4 linked regions of the Saccharomyces cerevisiae S288C genome follow. Changing the gene in region 2 together with the main gene of any one other region gives a genetic interaction. Each region holds a gene or a part of one and is shown on either strand. Other genes may lie near its edges.

The links.
Region 1: mutations in UBP3 (region 2) and LSM1 together harm fitness more than expected from each alone (negative genetic interaction), as found in Saccharomyces cerevisiae (6 studies listed by BioGRID).
Region 3: mutations in UBP3 (region 2) and VPS72 together harm fitness more than expected from each alone (negative genetic interaction), as found in Saccharomyces cerevisiae (7 studies listed by BioGRID, with this or other methods).
Region 4: mutations in UBP3 (region 2) and HTZ1 together harm fitness more than expected from each alone (negative genetic interaction), as found in Saccharomyces cerevisiae (9 studies listed by BioGRID, with this or other methods).

What each region holds. Positions count from the first base shown.
Region 1 is NC_001142.9:186,411-189,481, forward strand, and holds LSM1 (Lsm1p), read right to left. Parts: upstream 1,235-3,071; coding exon 716-1,234; downstream 1-715. Other genes in the region: tRNA 1-methyladenosine methyltransferase subunit GCD14, read right to left, coding at 1-269; DUF5427 domain-containing protein MTC1, read right to left, coding at 1,594-3,030. UniProt on the Saccharomyces cerevisiae protein: Component of the cytoplasmic LSM1-LSM7 complex which is involved in mRNA degradation by activating the decapping step.
Region 2 is NC_001137.3:468,906-474,396, forward strand, and holds UBP3 (mRNA-binding ubiquitin-specific protease UBP3), read right to left. Parts: upstream 3,520-5,491; coding exon 781-3,519; downstream 1-780. Other genes in the region: YER152C (2-aminoadipate transaminase), read right to left, coding at 3,752-5,083; PET122 (Pet122p), read right to left, coding at 5,136-5,491. UniProt on the Saccharomyces cerevisiae protein: Has an ATP-independent isopeptidase activity, cleaving at the C-terminus of the ubiquitin moiety in natural or engineered linear fusion proteins, irrespective of their size or the presence of an N-terminal extension to ubiquitin.
Region 3 is NC_001136.10:1,423,992-1,429,187, forward strand, and holds VPS72 (Vps72p), read right to left. Parts: upstream 3,217-5,196; coding exon 829-3,216; downstream 1-828. Other genes in the region: VPS52 (Vps52p), read left to right, coding at 1-697; VPS60 (Vps60p), read right to left, coding at 3,440-4,129; 3,4-dihydroxy-2-butanone-4-phosphate synthase RIB3, read right to left, coding at 4,363-4,989. UniProt on the Saccharomyces cerevisiae protein: Participates in the catalytic exchange of histone H2A for the H2A variant HTZ1, an euchromatin-specific factor, leading to chromatin remodeling and changes in transcription of targeted genes. Indirectly involved in vacuolar protein sorting.
Region 4 is NC_001147.6:302,706-305,889, forward strand, and holds HTZ1 (histone H2AZ), read right to left. Parts: upstream 1,279-3,184; coding exon 874-1,278; downstream 1-873. Other genes in the region: E3 ubiquitin-protein ligase HRD1, read right to left, coding at 1-330; PLB3 (lysophospholipase), read left to right, coding at 2,644-3,184. UniProt on the Saccharomyces cerevisiae protein: Variant histone H2A which can replace H2A in some nucleosomes. Nucleosomes wrap and compact DNA into chromatin, limiting DNA accessibility to the cellular machineries which require DNA as a template.

The sequences.
Region 1 (3,071 bases), on a different chromosome or scaffold from region 2:
CTGTGTGGTAACGACAAAGTCCACAATTCAGGAGTTGGTTGCAGAACATGGACGAATGCAAACTTATTTGAGCCCTTTGTTCTTATAGCAATTTGAGAACCATAAGGTTTACCTATGATATCCTTATGAGGAAATGAACCATAACGAGTATTGAATACCTCTTCGGAATGCATCCTTACCGGTTTGATGTTATCTCTAGAAACCCATATTAGAGTTAAATCGCCTTCCTTGATGAGGTCTTTGTAACCGGAAAAACAATTTGTTGACATTTCTAAATCTGCGTAATCTTAGCTACCTGATAGTCCCACCCCGATCTTATTCACATATATTTTCTATATACTTTAAACAGTTTTAAAAGTGATGAGCATGGAAAAAAATTCGTTGCTAACGGCATGGCATAAACAAAAAGCGAAAAAATTTTATAGATAATAATAAAGAAAAAGTATCAATAGCATGAGTGTTAATGTTATAACGAAGTGTAAGAGGAAAAAGAATGCTGCGCAAATACGTTACTTCATAAAAAAACTCAAGTACTGTATATATTTTACATTTAAATATATTAATTTATATACAAATACGGCCTCCTCTCTTGCATTTTTTTTATTGTTCCATCTCCAAAGGCAGTTGATTAAGTGTACGGATAGGTAAAACTGAATGTGGAAATTTTTGAGAGTTTACTCCAGGATATATGTTGGTAGTATTGTGTTTTTCTTTCTTAGTACATGTCAGATTTATGGAAATCGTAAACGATACCATGGCGGGCCATTTTTTTACCTTTGTGGGTTTCCTCTTTAAACCTTTTCTCATCATTTTTTTGCTTGGTCAGCCAAGCCTCCTTAAATGGTATGCGTTCCATGGCCTCAAGGGGTTGATCTTCTTTATCGATGTCTACTTCGCCTAACATGACAACATTTTCACCACGAATCATGAATATGCCGCGGTCTTCTTCAGCGTATTTGTTTTCTTCGCTAAAATATATTCTCTCCACGCAATCTTGAAGTATCAAATTTGCATATTGGTCAAAGGTTCTTAGTACACCGAATAGCATTCTTCCATCACGCAAAAGAACGAAGATTTTACGGTCTACTGAGCTTACAATAGCAGCGGTGGTAGTGAAGTTATACTGGTCGAGATATAAATCGGCCTCACCTTCTGAAATCTTCTTTGGGAAATTCTGCTGTTGTCGCTTCGCATCCTGATTGGACTGATTTCTGTCCTTGCTATTTGCAGACATTTTTGGTGAATTAATTCGATTCGAGGGCTGCTTTCTTTTATAGGTTTTGAAAGCGGAGCAAATGTTGGTATAACTCTACTGCAGCGTTGGCAATCCTGTTGAAAAGGAAAAGAAAATATAACTAAACTGTGTTACTTGTATCTTCACTAATATTTAATCAGCCCTTGGTCATACAGGCTTCCCCTAGATTGAAATACAGGTGCTGAACACCGTTGTATATTCACGACTTCCTCTATTTTTTTCATATTTTCCATTATTCAACGAACGCGGGTAACAAGTCGGCCGAATTTGAACCCACTCCTCTGCGCTTGTAACTTTATACATCATCGTTACGCTATAAATGTTATGTATTAAGTGTATCAAAGACCCATACGGTCAATGACATAATTCTGTGCCATGACCCCAAATGACAAGCTTAATCCATCTTCGATCCATTCCTTTACCCATTCACTAGGATCAATGATCTCATCGTCTTCGTCTTCGTCTTCACTTTCTTTTTGTTTCTTTTGATCGTATGACTTATTCCTCTCCTCACTTGCTGTTGATCCTGTTTTCTCCACGGATCCTTCTAGCCAATTGACCCATTTGACAGGGAATCCTTGTGATCTTGTTATGGTGGTAATATCGTTAGTTATGTCTTTCAATACAAGGGTGAAATTGAAATTGCCTGGCGTATTGGAGTCGGTCACTTGAAAGTCACCGTCGGCATCTTTTTGTTTTTGCGGAATGGCAATTGGTAAGATGGATATGAATAAATCACTGATTTTATTGCTGTTACTGCTAATAGAACTCCTATCGTCATCTGGAGTGGCATCAGCCTCTTTCTGTTGTTTCTGGTATTCCTCATGTGCAGTATTGAAGAGTTTGACTGCATTTTCCAGGTTTGCAAATGCCAGTTTCTCACCGTCTGTTACCTTGCCGTCGAATAGATTAAACTGTAATTTTTTTTTAGAGTTGCCTAACTCACCGTCTGCAACTGAAGGCTTTTTTTCCACAGGTGTAATTCCATTATTGTTAGGATGGCCCCATTCATCTACAAATATTCTGATTCCTCCCTCAACTTGTGAGCTTAGAACTTGATCAAACTTGCTTTCAATATTGTATTGTAATGAGGGATAGTTAACCAAATCATGGACTAGATGAATTCGCAGCACCTCTTCAGTCTCACCAACAACGATTTTCTGTAAGTTTCTGGCTATTTCAGTAATCGTGCTCGTGTTTATCTTTGAAGTCAAATCAAGCTGTTCTTGGGCAAGTCGGTTTTTGATCTGGGATGCTTGTTCTGCAGTTTTATTCCAAATACTCGATACCTTTGCGGATCCAGAGGAGGACCACCAGTTTGAAATAGAAGCAATTGGGTCATGCAATGGGGTCTCCTCCTCCTCCTCTTCTTCTTCTTCTTCTTCCTCCTCTTCTTCTTCTTTCTCCTGCTGCTGTGGTTCCTTTTCCTTTCCGTGAGCGTCCTGCTCGGAATTTTTGTTTTCTTTTGATTCTTCTACTTTTTCGTCTTGTGCTTTATTATTAACTGATTCACTGGGAGCCTTCTTTTCAACCCCTTTCTTGTCAGTTAAGCTTAAGTTACTCTTCTCCAACTCTTCTAAGAATTCAAAGATATCATCGTCACCTTTCTTTCCATCATTCCCGGTCTTGCCCGCCACAGAATTAGAACCTCCCTTAACGCCTTCTTGGCTACCCTTTACGTCAGTATTAACCATTTTCCCGCCATTCTTTGCTTCTGGCAAAGAATCTAAAAATTCAAATACGTCTTCAGCCTCAGAGTTCTTATTTTCAGACATTTTGCCCTGGTAGTATGTATGTTTTTAATCGATTGAGTCTA
Region 2 (5,491 bases):
TTTCTTCAAATCATTTAAATAAAGAAACTATTTTTTCTTTTTGTGTGTAGAATAATAAATGTAATTCTAGTTCTTCCTTTTTTTTTTTGGCTTTTTCACAGCTCATCTTTTTTACCCATTTGGTCATGATTATGTTGTTTGCCGTTGTGCAATAGGGAGTTTGTAAATCCTGAGATAAAGTATGGTGCTTCGAGGTTAGCACTTAATTGGCGTAAGCTGCTTAATGACAAAACCCTCCTTGGGCTTGGCGTATACGAAATATGCTCCTGCGAAGCGCAGTGGCAATATTGAGCACTATGTTAACGATAACGTGTTGGACTCATCGTCTGTGCACATATGATTGAAATCGGGAATCCTCTGCTTTTTTTAGGTAAAATCAAACTTTGGCTAAATTTGGATGATTACTTAAAGTAAGAAATGAATCTTAAGAGATGTATGAGTTTTGTGATAATTGTTGTGATTCCATTGTTGCCAAAGGCCATAATATTTTGAAATTCACATTCCTTCTACAAGGTATTTGTTTCTTAAATGTTCATCTCCAAGAAATAATTGGTTTCGTGGTCTAGTCGGTTATGGCATCTGCTTAACACGCAGAACGTCCCCAGTTCGATCCTGGGCGAAATCATTTTTTAAATATGCCAAGCATAAAGTGTAACTCTGTTTCTCTGTCTGTCTCTATTTCTTTTTTAAAATCGTGCTCACTATCGTATTGTATTGTATTGTATTGTATTATTGCTATATTATTTTTTATGTATTTTGTCTATAATACCACCCCCCGTCTTAATTTCTCTTTTGATACATTAAAATATAGGCAGTCCTCGAATCAGAAGCTTCTTCGCCACCTTTCAAAACGTCATCGTCCTCTAGTTCGGTAATATTTACATCATCTATTCTATACCATTTGTTGTGCTCGCTATGATAAACATCCGCTGTGTAATGACCGCCATCGGAACTTACCCCATGATGGTATATAACTCCGGTTAGCTTATATCTTCTATCATCAATCCCTGAGGTGTTGTTTTTCAATGTTATGGAAGACATTGATTCTTCAGGTATGATTAACTCGTGACCATATTTAATTTTTTTCCTGATCTTCTCAATACGTCCATTGTACGCGTTATAGTTCGTCATTGCGTTGTCTTTGTTCACATTATTTATGAATGAGAATCTTTTGAATTGGATTAAAAGAACTTGCGGCAATTTATCAATAAAAGTCTGCTTCTTGGCCTCGACATCATTCCCTGACGAGGACTTAAAGGGTAGCAATTCGTATTCACTAAATTTTTTGAATGCAGTTTCTAGATCATTCACACCAGCATCTGAAATGTCCAATTGAATTGTTTGGAACGGATCGAGTGTAATCGATTGAGATTCCTTATTGTTCGGTATATCTAACACAGATCTGAACTGGCCACCGAAAAGTTTGGAGATTGGTGATGGAACAATCTCGACAGTCCTCTTGGCAGCGGTCTTAGTTTTCTTGCCTCTTTTGCTAGATCCGCTCACTTCATGCCAACCATTTTCTTCGGTAGAGTCATCATTGATCACGCCATATTTTTCTATCAACTCCTTCAGTCTAGGACTAGCATTTTTGATAAACTCTGCTTTTCCATAACGTGACAAATTTCTAATAAAGAAAACTTTCAATTGTTCATCATTAATACTTTGCAGCATATTTTGAATTTCATTATCGGTTAAGCCATCAATTGCAGAAATTAATTCCTCGTGTAATTGGTCCAATAAGTGGGTCAAAAATTCTTCTGCGTCTTCCTGATGGCCCCATTGCAAGTCTTTGAACTTCGGTATAGTAGACAAAGTTTTGTAAAATTCGTCAGGTTTGACAGCATCGGCAGTGGCGCAGTGTTGGAAACTCTTGGATTTTGATGATTTTTTTGCATCACTTTCCGTGGTTTTTTCAGCATCATCAGCATTCTCTAGGAATTTTTTCTCATAGGTTTCCTTATCGAATTGCTTATACATAGTCAAACAAGCATCTAATAATTTACAGGATGATGTGCCGACTCTTGAATTGGTATTCCGTGTACTGAGAACGTTAATTACATCAATAAATGGCTTACAGTAGAGTAACACTTGTAACACAGAACTCATAAAACAAATGTTGGCTCTGTTAATTATGCCTCTTGGAATAATGGAATGGACTGGTATTTTGTTTTCAACATCTTTATTCCGTAAAACGTAACTAATGAAATCGGGATCAAAACACATTCTTAACGCAATCGAACCCAGTGGCTCAATACCCTTTGTAGAAGGTGGAACGTATTTTTTATCCTTTTTCTGAGGCTGCTTGGACAACAGGGGAGAGCTGGATTTACCTATAGTCGCCGCAGCCATGTTTGTTGATGAAACGCCTGCGGTCGTACCAGAAATTGGTGTTTTAGTGACCATCGATCCGGAGACTGTTTTGTTACTAGCTTGTCTACTTTTAATCGCATCTGATGCTATGGCGGACCAGGATTTTGCTGCTGGAGGAGATGGTGAAGGTGAAGATGTCTTGGAAGTATTTTCTTCAACAGATTCCTCTGGTTCCTTCTTATCCACTACAGGTAAAACAGTAGCTTGAGGTTCCTGTATAACTTTTTCGTTACGGTCTTGCTTAGCATCCTCTTTCTTTACTTCAGTTTTCTTTTTAAGCTCGTGCGCATCTTTGCTCGCATGTGGTTTTTTATCATGAGCATCTTCTTCTTCCCCATGTGTTTCTGTCTTTACTTCCTCATTATGCTTTGGTATACTATGGCTTTTTGTGTGATGATGGGCAGAGCTCTTTTCTACAGATGAGTTCTCTAAGCTTTCAGAGTTTAGGTTCAAAGCCTTCATGTTTAATTCGTACCTTTGGACACTTGCCGCAGCAAATTCTGCTTCCGTAGTGTTTATGAACAGTGGCAATTGAATCAAGTTTGATGAATTTTCCTTGAGATTCTTTAATTTAGTGACATCAAACTTGTATAAATCATACTGTGAAGAAGAGTTGTAGGAAGAGTACGATGGTGAAGTAGCCGAAGAACCGTTGCCGTTGGAAGAGTTGGTCTGTTTTTTCATGCCCGCATTGCTGCCACTGTTTGGAGAGGCCATCATGGGGATATGATTGTTAGAGTAATTGTGATGGTAGGTGTGGGATTTGTTGTAGCTCATGCCGCTACCGCTAGAGTTGGCGCCTTGATTACCGCTGCTTCCATTGTTATTGGTAATGCCATTAGAGTGCCACTTCTTCTTGTTAATGTTGTTGTTATTGGTAGTGCTTCCGCCGTTAATATTGTTTTGCGGAGGCAAGTGATGTGGGCTGCCACTTTGATGGTAGATTGGCTGGTTTTGGTTGACCATATTAAACGAATAGGCAGGTATTTGTGTGGGGTATAGATATGGGGCCTGAGTGTAGCCGTACATCTGCAAAGGCGCTTGATAAATAGGAATCTGCATATTGGTTGGCGTAGGTGGTGGTGGAGAAGAGGTTTTCGGGTACATCGAGTACGACTCTTCTTTGTTAGCGTCTTGCATGTTCATTTTTTTTAATGATGATGGAAAGGAAAGCGGTACCTGGATGATGGTAGCAGACGAGTCTGACTTACTATTAAAATGACTTTCTTCTCTAGAAACACTTCTCTTCCCTTTCGCTTTTTCGCTGCTTGTTTGTTTTATCACATTATATTTTTTTCCTTCTTTTTCTTTTTCTTCCTTGCCTTTGCCCGTAGAAAAATTACCCTCTTATTACCGTTCACCTATATACGTATTCCTTCTACATAGTTATGTTATTGGTGATCGCATGAGATTTGCAAACAGCACCAAACAGCTCAATGCCCCTGTCGATATCATCAACTTCTAAGAAACTAATAGAAAGCCTAAAGCATGACTGACCCCAGTTTTTCTCATCGCCGATGACCTCGAAATTGGAGCCGTCGGCAAGGATGACATTAAATTTCTTGGCAAGAATAGTGGATATCTCCATGGCATTGTACGCTGGTGGGAGAGTGATCCAAGTAAAATAGCCGCCCTTCAATGGCATAATCTCGGTTCCTAGGGGCATGTATTTCTTAAGCGCCGAGGTCAAGACAGTGGCCCTCTCGGAGTATACGGATCTCAGATGTGCAATGCATCTCTGGGCGGCACCACTACGCAGCATCTCACCCACGATCATGGAGTTCAGTTGTGAGGGAGTTCCGCCAGAGACGTTTGCACCACCTTTAGATAGCTGTCTGGCGAGATTCGCGTTGATTGACTCATGGTATCCAAATCTGAGCCCAGGGGCGATCAGCTTGGAGAAAGTTGCGTTGGACACTGTATTCCCGAACGAGTCCTCACCGGAGGGCGCTGTACTTCTGTCTATGTGCACCATCCTTAGGGGCGGAGAGGGCAGCTCATCTGAGGGCGTCGTGTAATCTAGAATATCGTACACGTCATCAGTGATTATCAGCATGTCGTACTTCCGAGCGATGTCGATAAGTCTGCGTCTGGTCTCAAGCGAGTATGTGTTTCCCGATGGGTTTGCAAACGTCGGGATGCAGTACATAACGTACCTGTAGACCTTCTTGGTCAACTTTGGCCCCTGAATCATCTCTGTGGTACTATGGGGCTGCGGCTCCGCCTCGTGCTGCTCAAGGGCAGAAATCAACGACTCGAAATCAATCGAGTCGTGGCCCTGCTCGTTGATGGCGGTCATTTTCCCCTTGAATCCCGCATCTGTGAAGCAATTGTTGATCAAGAAATATGTTGGCGTGATGATGAACGCCTGCCTGGTATACCCGTTATGTGGCAAGGTTGTTTGCAGAAGGATGTTCAGCATGCCATACGAAGCGCCGCTATTCAGATTCAAATAGTCTGCCCGTGTCCTGCTCCGAGCCCCATTTTCGAACTTAAACAGCTGATCATTCAGAAACGTACAAATCTGCTCTCGCACCCACAGGGCACCTTCGTCCGAACCGTACGTCAGCGGATGCCTGTTATAGGGGTCGTTATCGTACTCCCTGGTCTCGGGCCCCAATATAGCCGCAGTCGCTTGAATTACTGCTTCTCGAGGCAGCAACCTCGAGCTCGGATGGCCCTTGAAGAAATTGATTTCCTTGTATTTCATTACCGCTTGCTAGCACGCGTTGTTCCTTGTTACAGCGATGCTCCACCCAGATTTATGTGTTGATTTCAAATCCTCTTCTCTTTATCACTAGTTCGGCATCCAGCAGCGGCAGCCCGCGATAACTTTGACGGAACTCCGCCAGCACACGTCGCGCCTGCGCTGGGCCGGGAACATGCCAAAGGACACCAGCCAGTAGTAGCGGTAGTGACCATTCGTTCTTTATCACTAGGGGCTGTCGTCCAAACAACGCCAGGGCAGCTGCTTGCTCATCTTGCTGCATCAATGCTATGCCCATAGCCTTGGTCATTTGCGGGAAGTCGCGCAGCCTTAATGGCGGCTGCCCTGGTAGCGTATCCATCTCCTGCAAGAATACCTTCCACTTTTCCCTGAGCGCCGTGGAGTGCATTG
Region 3 (5,196 bases), on a different chromosome or scaffold from region 2:
ACCAACTTTTGATGAAGCCACAACATACACTCAACAACTGATCCAATATAATTATGACATTTTTGGTGTATTAATAAGTATTCGTGTGGCCAATCAATTACAATTTGAATCAGAAAGGAGAGGAATACCGTCTATGTTTGATAGTTTCTTGAATGGTCAATTAATTCAATTATGGCCTCGATTTCAGCAATTGGTCGATTTTCAATGCGAGAGCTTACGAAAAGCGGCAATAACTACAAATGTGGCAAAATATGCCGGCAACTCAAGCACATCCAATAGTAGCCCTTTGACCTCACCTCATGAGTTAACTGTACAGTTCGGTAAATTTTTATCAAGCTTCTTGACGTTGGCAATAACACATAAGCAGTCCATAGACGAAAGATCTGAACCCTTATACAATTCCATCATTAGATTAAGAAATGATTTCGAAACAGTCATGACAAAGTGCAGTAAAAAGACGAAATCACCAGAAAGATTTCTGGCTACAAATTACATGTATTTATACAATAACCTACAGCAATTGCATCTACATTTAAATATAAATGACTCGGATGCACAAAACTACAATTTTGATTCTGCTGAAAATGTTGGTACGAAAGTTGCGAATGACGACGATAATGATTCAAGCGTACCACTAATAATCAGAGAGACCGAAAATCATTTCAAAACTTTAGTTGAAGCTTTCACCAGAAATTGATGAATGTAACGATTGTATAAGACATGGAGCGTATAAAGTATATTTTTATGTAAAATGATCTTTATGATTTCTTATTTTGTGTGGAATATAGTCAAATGTTTAACGACCTACCATTATATAGTCTGTCTCAATTAAAATCCTTCAGGAACACCTTTTGCAGGTCTTTGACTTAAATCAAGGTAAATACCGCCGTTTTTGAACCCAAACCACTTGAATCTCACTTGATCGTCACTATCCTCATTTGTCGTTTCATCACGCTTGATATCTGACCTTCCCTCCTCCTTAGAAATAGGATCTTGAATCCGCTGAATAATTTTATAAGCTTCCACATCAGAATAAGGCACACCAGTCCTTGGATCAAAGTACTGACATTCTTTATTTGTGATTAAACATTTTTTTCTTATACCATTGGCTAAGAAGACACCCGTTGGAGGCTGTGTTTTAATTTTGATTTCCAAATCCTTATTTATCTCTGTGTTGATTTGATGGACTATTTTCTTATCGTATTCCCCAAAAGATGGGAAATTTGCCAGAGCTGACAGATCAAGTGATATATCTACGGTAGGAGACGGTACTGAAGACTGAGGAGGTGATGGTAAAATGGAGTGGAAAACAGTTTTCATATCTTGTGGACGCTGAGTGGCGGATAACCCATTTGTGTATGACCATCGATCACCAAATAAGTTTGTGTTAAAATCTTTTAGATTTGGAGGAGCATTAGGAAAATCATAAAGTGTAACAAAGTTCCTTGAGGTTAATTGCTCAGGCCCTTCGTAGGTCTGTGTTGATAAAGAGTTTTCCGCGGAAGATTCATCAACATTAGCTGTATCTTTTTTTGAGGGTGACTCTTCAGTATCGATTATGGCCACTTGCGGATGGTCGGTAAACGTTACTTGTTTCAAGAAAGAAACATCAGTATTGCTTTTGGTCTCTTGTGGTACATTATGAGATAAGTTCTCGATGCCTTCGGTTTTCAGACAAGGTTCAGGCTCTCCTTTTATATCCGTATCCGGAGAGATCAATATAGTATCTTCAGTGCCAGTGGAGTTTGATGGTGTAGGTGTTGCAGAATTATCCCTTTGTGAGACCACTTGGGCAGCAGGTGATGAGTTTTCAAAAGTATTTTCCCTGCTCTCGAGAGCACTTACCATTTCATCTTTAATTTCTTCATTATGTAAATTTTGTATCGGTTCGCCTACATTGGTAATTTTTTGCTCATTAGTTATTATATTCTTTTGTGGTTGGCTGTTGGGAGCTTCATCAACGGTACTCTGCTTGTTTGCAATTGCGTCCAATGTAACATCAGGTAATGCTGTTGGCTTTAATTCGTCTGAATTTACTCTACTCACCGCTGCATCTGGACTCGATTCTCCTTCAACTGTATCGTTAGTAGAAGTTTCCTCAATCCTTTTCTGGTTGTGTACAGATGAAGAATTCTCACCCAAAGAATTCACGTCGCCATCGTTCTTTATCGATTCTTCACTCTCCCGCTTTTTATCATCTGATGCGTCCTGTTTTCCGAGATTTAAATTCTTCTTTGGCTTCCTCGGATATTTTTTCTTCTTCTTATCACGTTTATTCAATTGTTCCTGCCAATATTTACGATCTTCTAACTCCATCGCTGGCGTCATTAGCCAAGCAGTAGATAAAAATTGCAGTATAGTCTCATTTGGCTGGAATTTCTGCTTTTGTCTTTTCTGCAAAGCTAGACGATTCTCCTTTTTCCAAACTTCTTGTTCCTTGAACTTATCCAGTGACAAAATATTCAGCTTCTCAGTCTCCTTGGCAATCCGTAGCCTCTCTTCTTGTGTCAGCATATGCTGAGACTCCTGCTCCTTGTGTTTCCTTATTCTTTCTTGTATAATTTTTCTCTTTTTTTCAGCTTTAGACAATTTCTCATAAACTTTCATCGTGTTTTCCATTACCGATGATCTTTTAGAAGTTCTCCTTGTATTTAATAGTAACGTCTCTGCGTTTAATTGTTCATGGGTATGGTGCGATCTTGGTATAGCTTCTCCTGACTTAGGCTTAGGTTTTTGTTTTTTGATTACAACGGGACCCTTCTGTAATCTCTTGTTTCTTTTCTTTCTTGAAAGTAGTTCTTGTCTTCGTATTTCCTTTTCCTCTGCATCTTCATCATTCTCGTTGCTGGAGTCCTCAGATTCGCTACTGCTGAACATTAAGTCATCGGCTGCTTGCTCACTTGAAGCCTGAGAGGGCTCTTTCCTTATACTTTGAGTCTCATCTTCTTTTTCTTCCCCTTCATCATCGTCATCTTTTGCCATCATTTCGAAATCTTCATCATCTTCATCTTCCTGAAACAACAGCCCTATTTCATCTTCTTCATCATCATTACCATTCTTATAGGAAGAAATTTGTCTTTTGGTAGATTCTATATCTCTTAGCTCCTGCTCCAATAGTTTTTGTAATTTATTACCGGCATTAGACCTCCTAGATCGTGTTTGTATAATAAATTCTGTGTTAGTATCTAGACTTTTATCAGCACCTTCATCACTCATCGTGCACTGTGAATTTGCTTCGGTTTCACTTCTATTTGTATTCATTAGACTACATGGTGCTTTCTGCTTACTGTTTTTTCCATCAGGATTTTTTTAACAAAGAAAAAAGAAAACTACTAAAACCTAAATAAGGTACATATTTTGGCTTACCAGCAAAGAGAATATAAAGAAAAGGGAAAGGAGAGAAAAATTCTGAATATGCAACTTTGTGTGCTTTTTGTTTTCACTGAGCGCTTTCTAAAGCTTTATTTTTGTCTTCAGTATCTAAGTTTGGCTCTTCATCAATAAAAGCCGGTGGCGCATTCGCACCTAGTAAGTAACTGGGCATATCGTTACCTAATGAGTTTTCGCTGGTTGGCAAAGTGAAATCCTCTTGTGCCAGAGCATCCAGCTCTGCATCCAGCTCTGCATCACTAATGTCGTCGAGCTCGCCACTGTTATTATTCATTGCCAAGACTTCTTGCAGCTCATCCCCTTGTTCTATTAAATCCAGCATCTCATCCTGCATGTCCTGTAGTTTGTCGATATTTATCTTGCCGTATTGAGCCTTCATGGCATTGTTTGTTTGCTTTAGTGCGTTTATAGTGATCATTGTGTTCTGTAAGTTATCATTTGTTAACTGGGCTTGCGTCATGGACCAGGATTGAGAATCTAAAGAATCCTTCATATTTTCTAACTGTTTACGTTTATTTAAAATCTTCAAAGCCTGTTTTCTTAACGAGGGTTGCTTGTTGTTTGATCTTTGCAAATTCTTTTGAATATTTTGCAGCTGGAAGTTTAACTGGGCGATTTGAGTATCTAACTGGGATATTCTGTTCGATAGTGATTGTTGGGCCTGATTCATGGACTGATTCGACTCTTGTAAGAGCTGATCATGGCTCTTTTTGTTCCCATATCCGAAAATCCTGTTCATAATTGCCTTGAAGAGTTTATAACTGTGTTTCAACCAATCTTGGCTTCCTCCTATTACTACTTTTTTTAGATGTACTTTTTCTCTTGCTAAAAATCCCATATTTTTGTATGGCTGAAAAACATAGAGGAAGAAAAAGGTCAAAAAACAAAAGATATATACAAAGTTACAAATATATACATGTATATATGTGTGAGTCTGTTGTGATAGAATGAATGGAGAAAATGTTCACCAGATTATTTCTTCAAATATTGGGCCAATTCTTCGATGGAGATCAAAGGAATGCCATGTTTCTTACCAAACGCTTGGCAGTCATTTAATCTCATCATAGTTCCTTGTTCGTCATCGTTAACCAATTCGCCAATAACAGCGACGGGACTTAGTCCACTTAGTTTACACAAATCGACACCGGCCTCAGTGTGGCCTCTTCTCTGCAAAACACCGCCATCAGCGGCTCTCAAGGGACAGATGTGCCCTGGTTTTAAAAATGATTTTGGCGTAGAGGAAGAGTCTGCAAGAGCCCTACAAGTCATCGACCTGTCGTGAGCAGAAATACCTGTGGTAGTGCCTTGGGCTACATCTACAGTTATTGTGTATGCAGTTCCATGCCTGTCGTCATCATTGGATTCAAACTTCATGCCTGTTCTCAGTAGTGGAAGGTCCAACTTATCAGCAATGGCATTCGTCATAGGTGCACAGACGTAGCCTGAGGAATGGCGTACAAGAAAGGCCATTTGTTCAGTGCTGACATTTTCAGCAGCGCAAATAAGATCACCTTCATTTTCACGACCGGCATCGTCCATAACAATTACAAACTTATTCTGCTTGAAGTGTTCTATAGCTTGATCAATTGGTGTAAACATTTTCGACGTTGCCTTTTCTTCTTTTCCTTTCCTTTTTTTTAGCCTTCTGCTTTTTGTTGGAGATATTTACATTCACCTCACATATATACGCCAATGAAAATTTCACAATAGCACGTATATTAATAATAGCCTTGCTTTTTTTTATCAATTCTCGCTAAGAAATTACTCATCAGGCAATAACCTATGCTCACCCGCCTCGAAGCGGCG
Region 4 (3,184 bases), on a different chromosome or scaffold from region 2:
AAATGCCACTGTGAAAAAATACCGTTCGTGGAACAGTGAGGACATAAACAAGGTGTTTATAATGGTAAATGGTAACCTTTCAAAAATGTGCTCATGCTCAATAAGCCTCAGTTCACCAAATAATAGTTTCGTTAGGAGTTGCCATAGTAAGGTAGAATTTAATAAGATGAATATCGACAAAACCATTAGATTGAAGCCTTCATTTAGCTTCAGTGTTACTTGCAAAAAGGAAACGCTTGTCTTGGTGGCTGAATACACGCAATAAAATGTGAGCAAATATGTGACAACTACAAAAATTGCCAACTGTTTCCTTCTATTTTCTGGCACCATATTATTATTTTGTCTTTCTCCCCTTCTCTTACAAATTGCAATTGATAGATGATTTTCTGGTTATAAAAAGGAACCAACAAATCGGTAGAAAGTCGACAGTATAACTAGTGGTGAAGCTGTTATTAGAAATGGTAGGGGGGTTTTTTTTTTGTCCTGTCGGCACGTATGGAAATTTATCGTCTATTAAACCTTTTCTTTGATTTGATTTCTACAGTGTACTTTTGTAGGTGTCCTTAATTTCCATTTTTCCGGGTATGCAAAGTTCAACAAAAAGAAAGCCCTGACCAAATTTCTGCGTACATAACGGCTACTGCGCTATCGTTGGGAATATTGTGTGAGAGTATATTTTCATGCTATATATTATAGTAAAAACATAAGAGATTAGACGTGAAAGGAGAGATAGATTACATATATGTATGTATATAACTCGGGTACGGAGAGACAAATTTCAACTTATAATAATGATACAGACGTTAATATGGATAGAATGAGGATACAGGAGCAGGGAGAATTACGGGAAATGGGAAAGAAAAACTATTCTTCTTATTTCTTACTTCCCTTTTTTTCCACTTTCAATAATAATGCTTTATTTATATGAGGCAAAACACCACCTGAAGCAATTGTAGCCCTGATCAAAGAATCTAACTCATCGTCACCTCTAATGGCCAATTGCAGATGTCTTGGGGTAATCCTCTTGACTTTAAGATCCTTGGCTGCATTACCAGCCAACTCCAGCACTTCAGCAGTCAAATATTCCAACACAGCAGTCAAATAAATGGCAGCTTTGGATCCTACTCTTGTTCGGCCGGTAGCGTGCCTTTTCAGGTAACGCTTAATCCTACCGACAGGAAACTGCAAGCCAGCCCTTGCTGAAGAAGATTGAGATCTCAATGAACCACTGTCTTTAGCGCCGGATTTACCTTTACCTCCATGAGCTTTTCCTGACATTATGTTAAGTTATTTTTACGTGCGGCTATAGTGCGAAATTGAATTTAACGATATTTTTTCCGACTGAAGTATAATAGAGTCCGCAGTGTTTTTTAGTTGGGGGTTGTGACTCTATTACACTGGATAATAGTTCAGCTGTTAAATAGAGCTGTATGCTTTATTTGTTGTTTTTTTTGTTTTGTTGTTTTCGTGCACGGAGCGAGCGCGGCGGGTTACGGAACACCAGCGGCCAGTTCTACGAGTAGTAAGTTACGGGCGTAAAGTTACTGTGTGCTAATCTAGCATGGATGCATTCAGTAAACCTTTTCAATTGAGTCTAACGTTCTCTAAAGAAAGAAGAATACTGCTATTTTAGGTATGTGCTTACTACCGCTTGTGCGGACCTGCCCTGATTCCAAGGTAAGAGACAGTGATTCTTGTCCTAAGCTCTTTTCTCCGGGGCGGGCGGGCGGCTGGCAGACATATTGATTGCGGGTAACACCTCCGAGGTTAATTAATCAAGCAACGTGCGGAGTTTTATCACATGGATGTTTCTTATCACCGGGTGCGCGCCACGCAATATATAAAACGGTAAACATACGCTGTTGCAAGGCAAGACACAACAGCGGCAAACACTTCAGAGAATACAGACGATAGTCATCAGCACTCCTAATAATCGTATAATGAATACTATACGAAGCTTTGTGCGTTGCAAAAAGAGCATACCAGGCGAAGAGAGCGCAGTTAGTAGGTGATCGGGAAATTGCTGAGTACAGTTGTTTGCCTCCTGTGATACCGCGTCACATGACCATTTAAAAGTGTCCATAATGTCATCGGTAACGTCACACTCACATGAGTTTTCCTGACTTCAGCCTCCTTCATCTCGCGTTAATACGCCAGCATCGCGCACCATATTACTGCCCGCGTAATCCAATTCCTCCTTTCGTTCTCAATGACTAAAACGCAAATCATTTTTCCTTTTTTTTTGAAACCGGTGGACGCCCCATAGAACTTCCAAATCAGGAAATACCGCAACTTCATCCGTTTTCGTTTCGCTTTAGTCCTCCACGAAAATATCTTGCCGGTTCCGCGAATGTTGTACTGGTTCTTCTGTGCAATGAGCCTTTTTCTCTTCTTTCTTTTTCCCTGCTTTTAAGATGGCTTGGCTATGGAATTACTCAATTTGGCACTTCTTTTGCAAGATCCAGACTTGCAGGGATTCTATCACCATTATTACCACACTACTATGTTATTGTTACGCTTTTCATCCACTTTTATATAAGTTATACGTGGTTTTACGAGTTCTAATATTTCACTTTTCAGCTTGGAATACGCCGTTTTAAGAGGACTAAAAGCAAGGAAATTACACACATAATAATATAAGTAATGATACGTCCATTATGTTCAAAAATTATTATCAGTTACATATTCGCAATTTCTCAGTTTCTACTGGCCGCTAATGCGTGGTCGCCCACAGATAGTTATGTTCCTGGCACCGTGTCGTGTCCCGATGACATAAATCTGGTAAGAGAGGCTACGTCTATATCTCAGAATGAGAGCGCATGGTTGGAAAAGAGGAATAAAGTCACTAGTGTAGCTTTAAAAGATTTCTTGACTAGGGCTACTGCAAATTTTTCAGATAGCTCAGAAGTTTTGTCGAAGCTATTTAATGATGGCAACAGCGAAAACCTGCCGAAAATTGCTGTCGCCGTTTCAGGTGGGGGCTATCGGTCCATGCTAACAGGTGCGGGTGTTCTAGCAGCAATGGATAACAGAACTGAAGGTGCTTATGAGCATGGGCTGGGTGGACTTTTACAAAGCACAACATATTTATCTGGTGCCTCGGGCGGCAACTGGCTAGTTGGTACATTAGCCTTGAACAATTGGACATCCGTGCAAGACATTCTTAATAATATGCAGAACGACG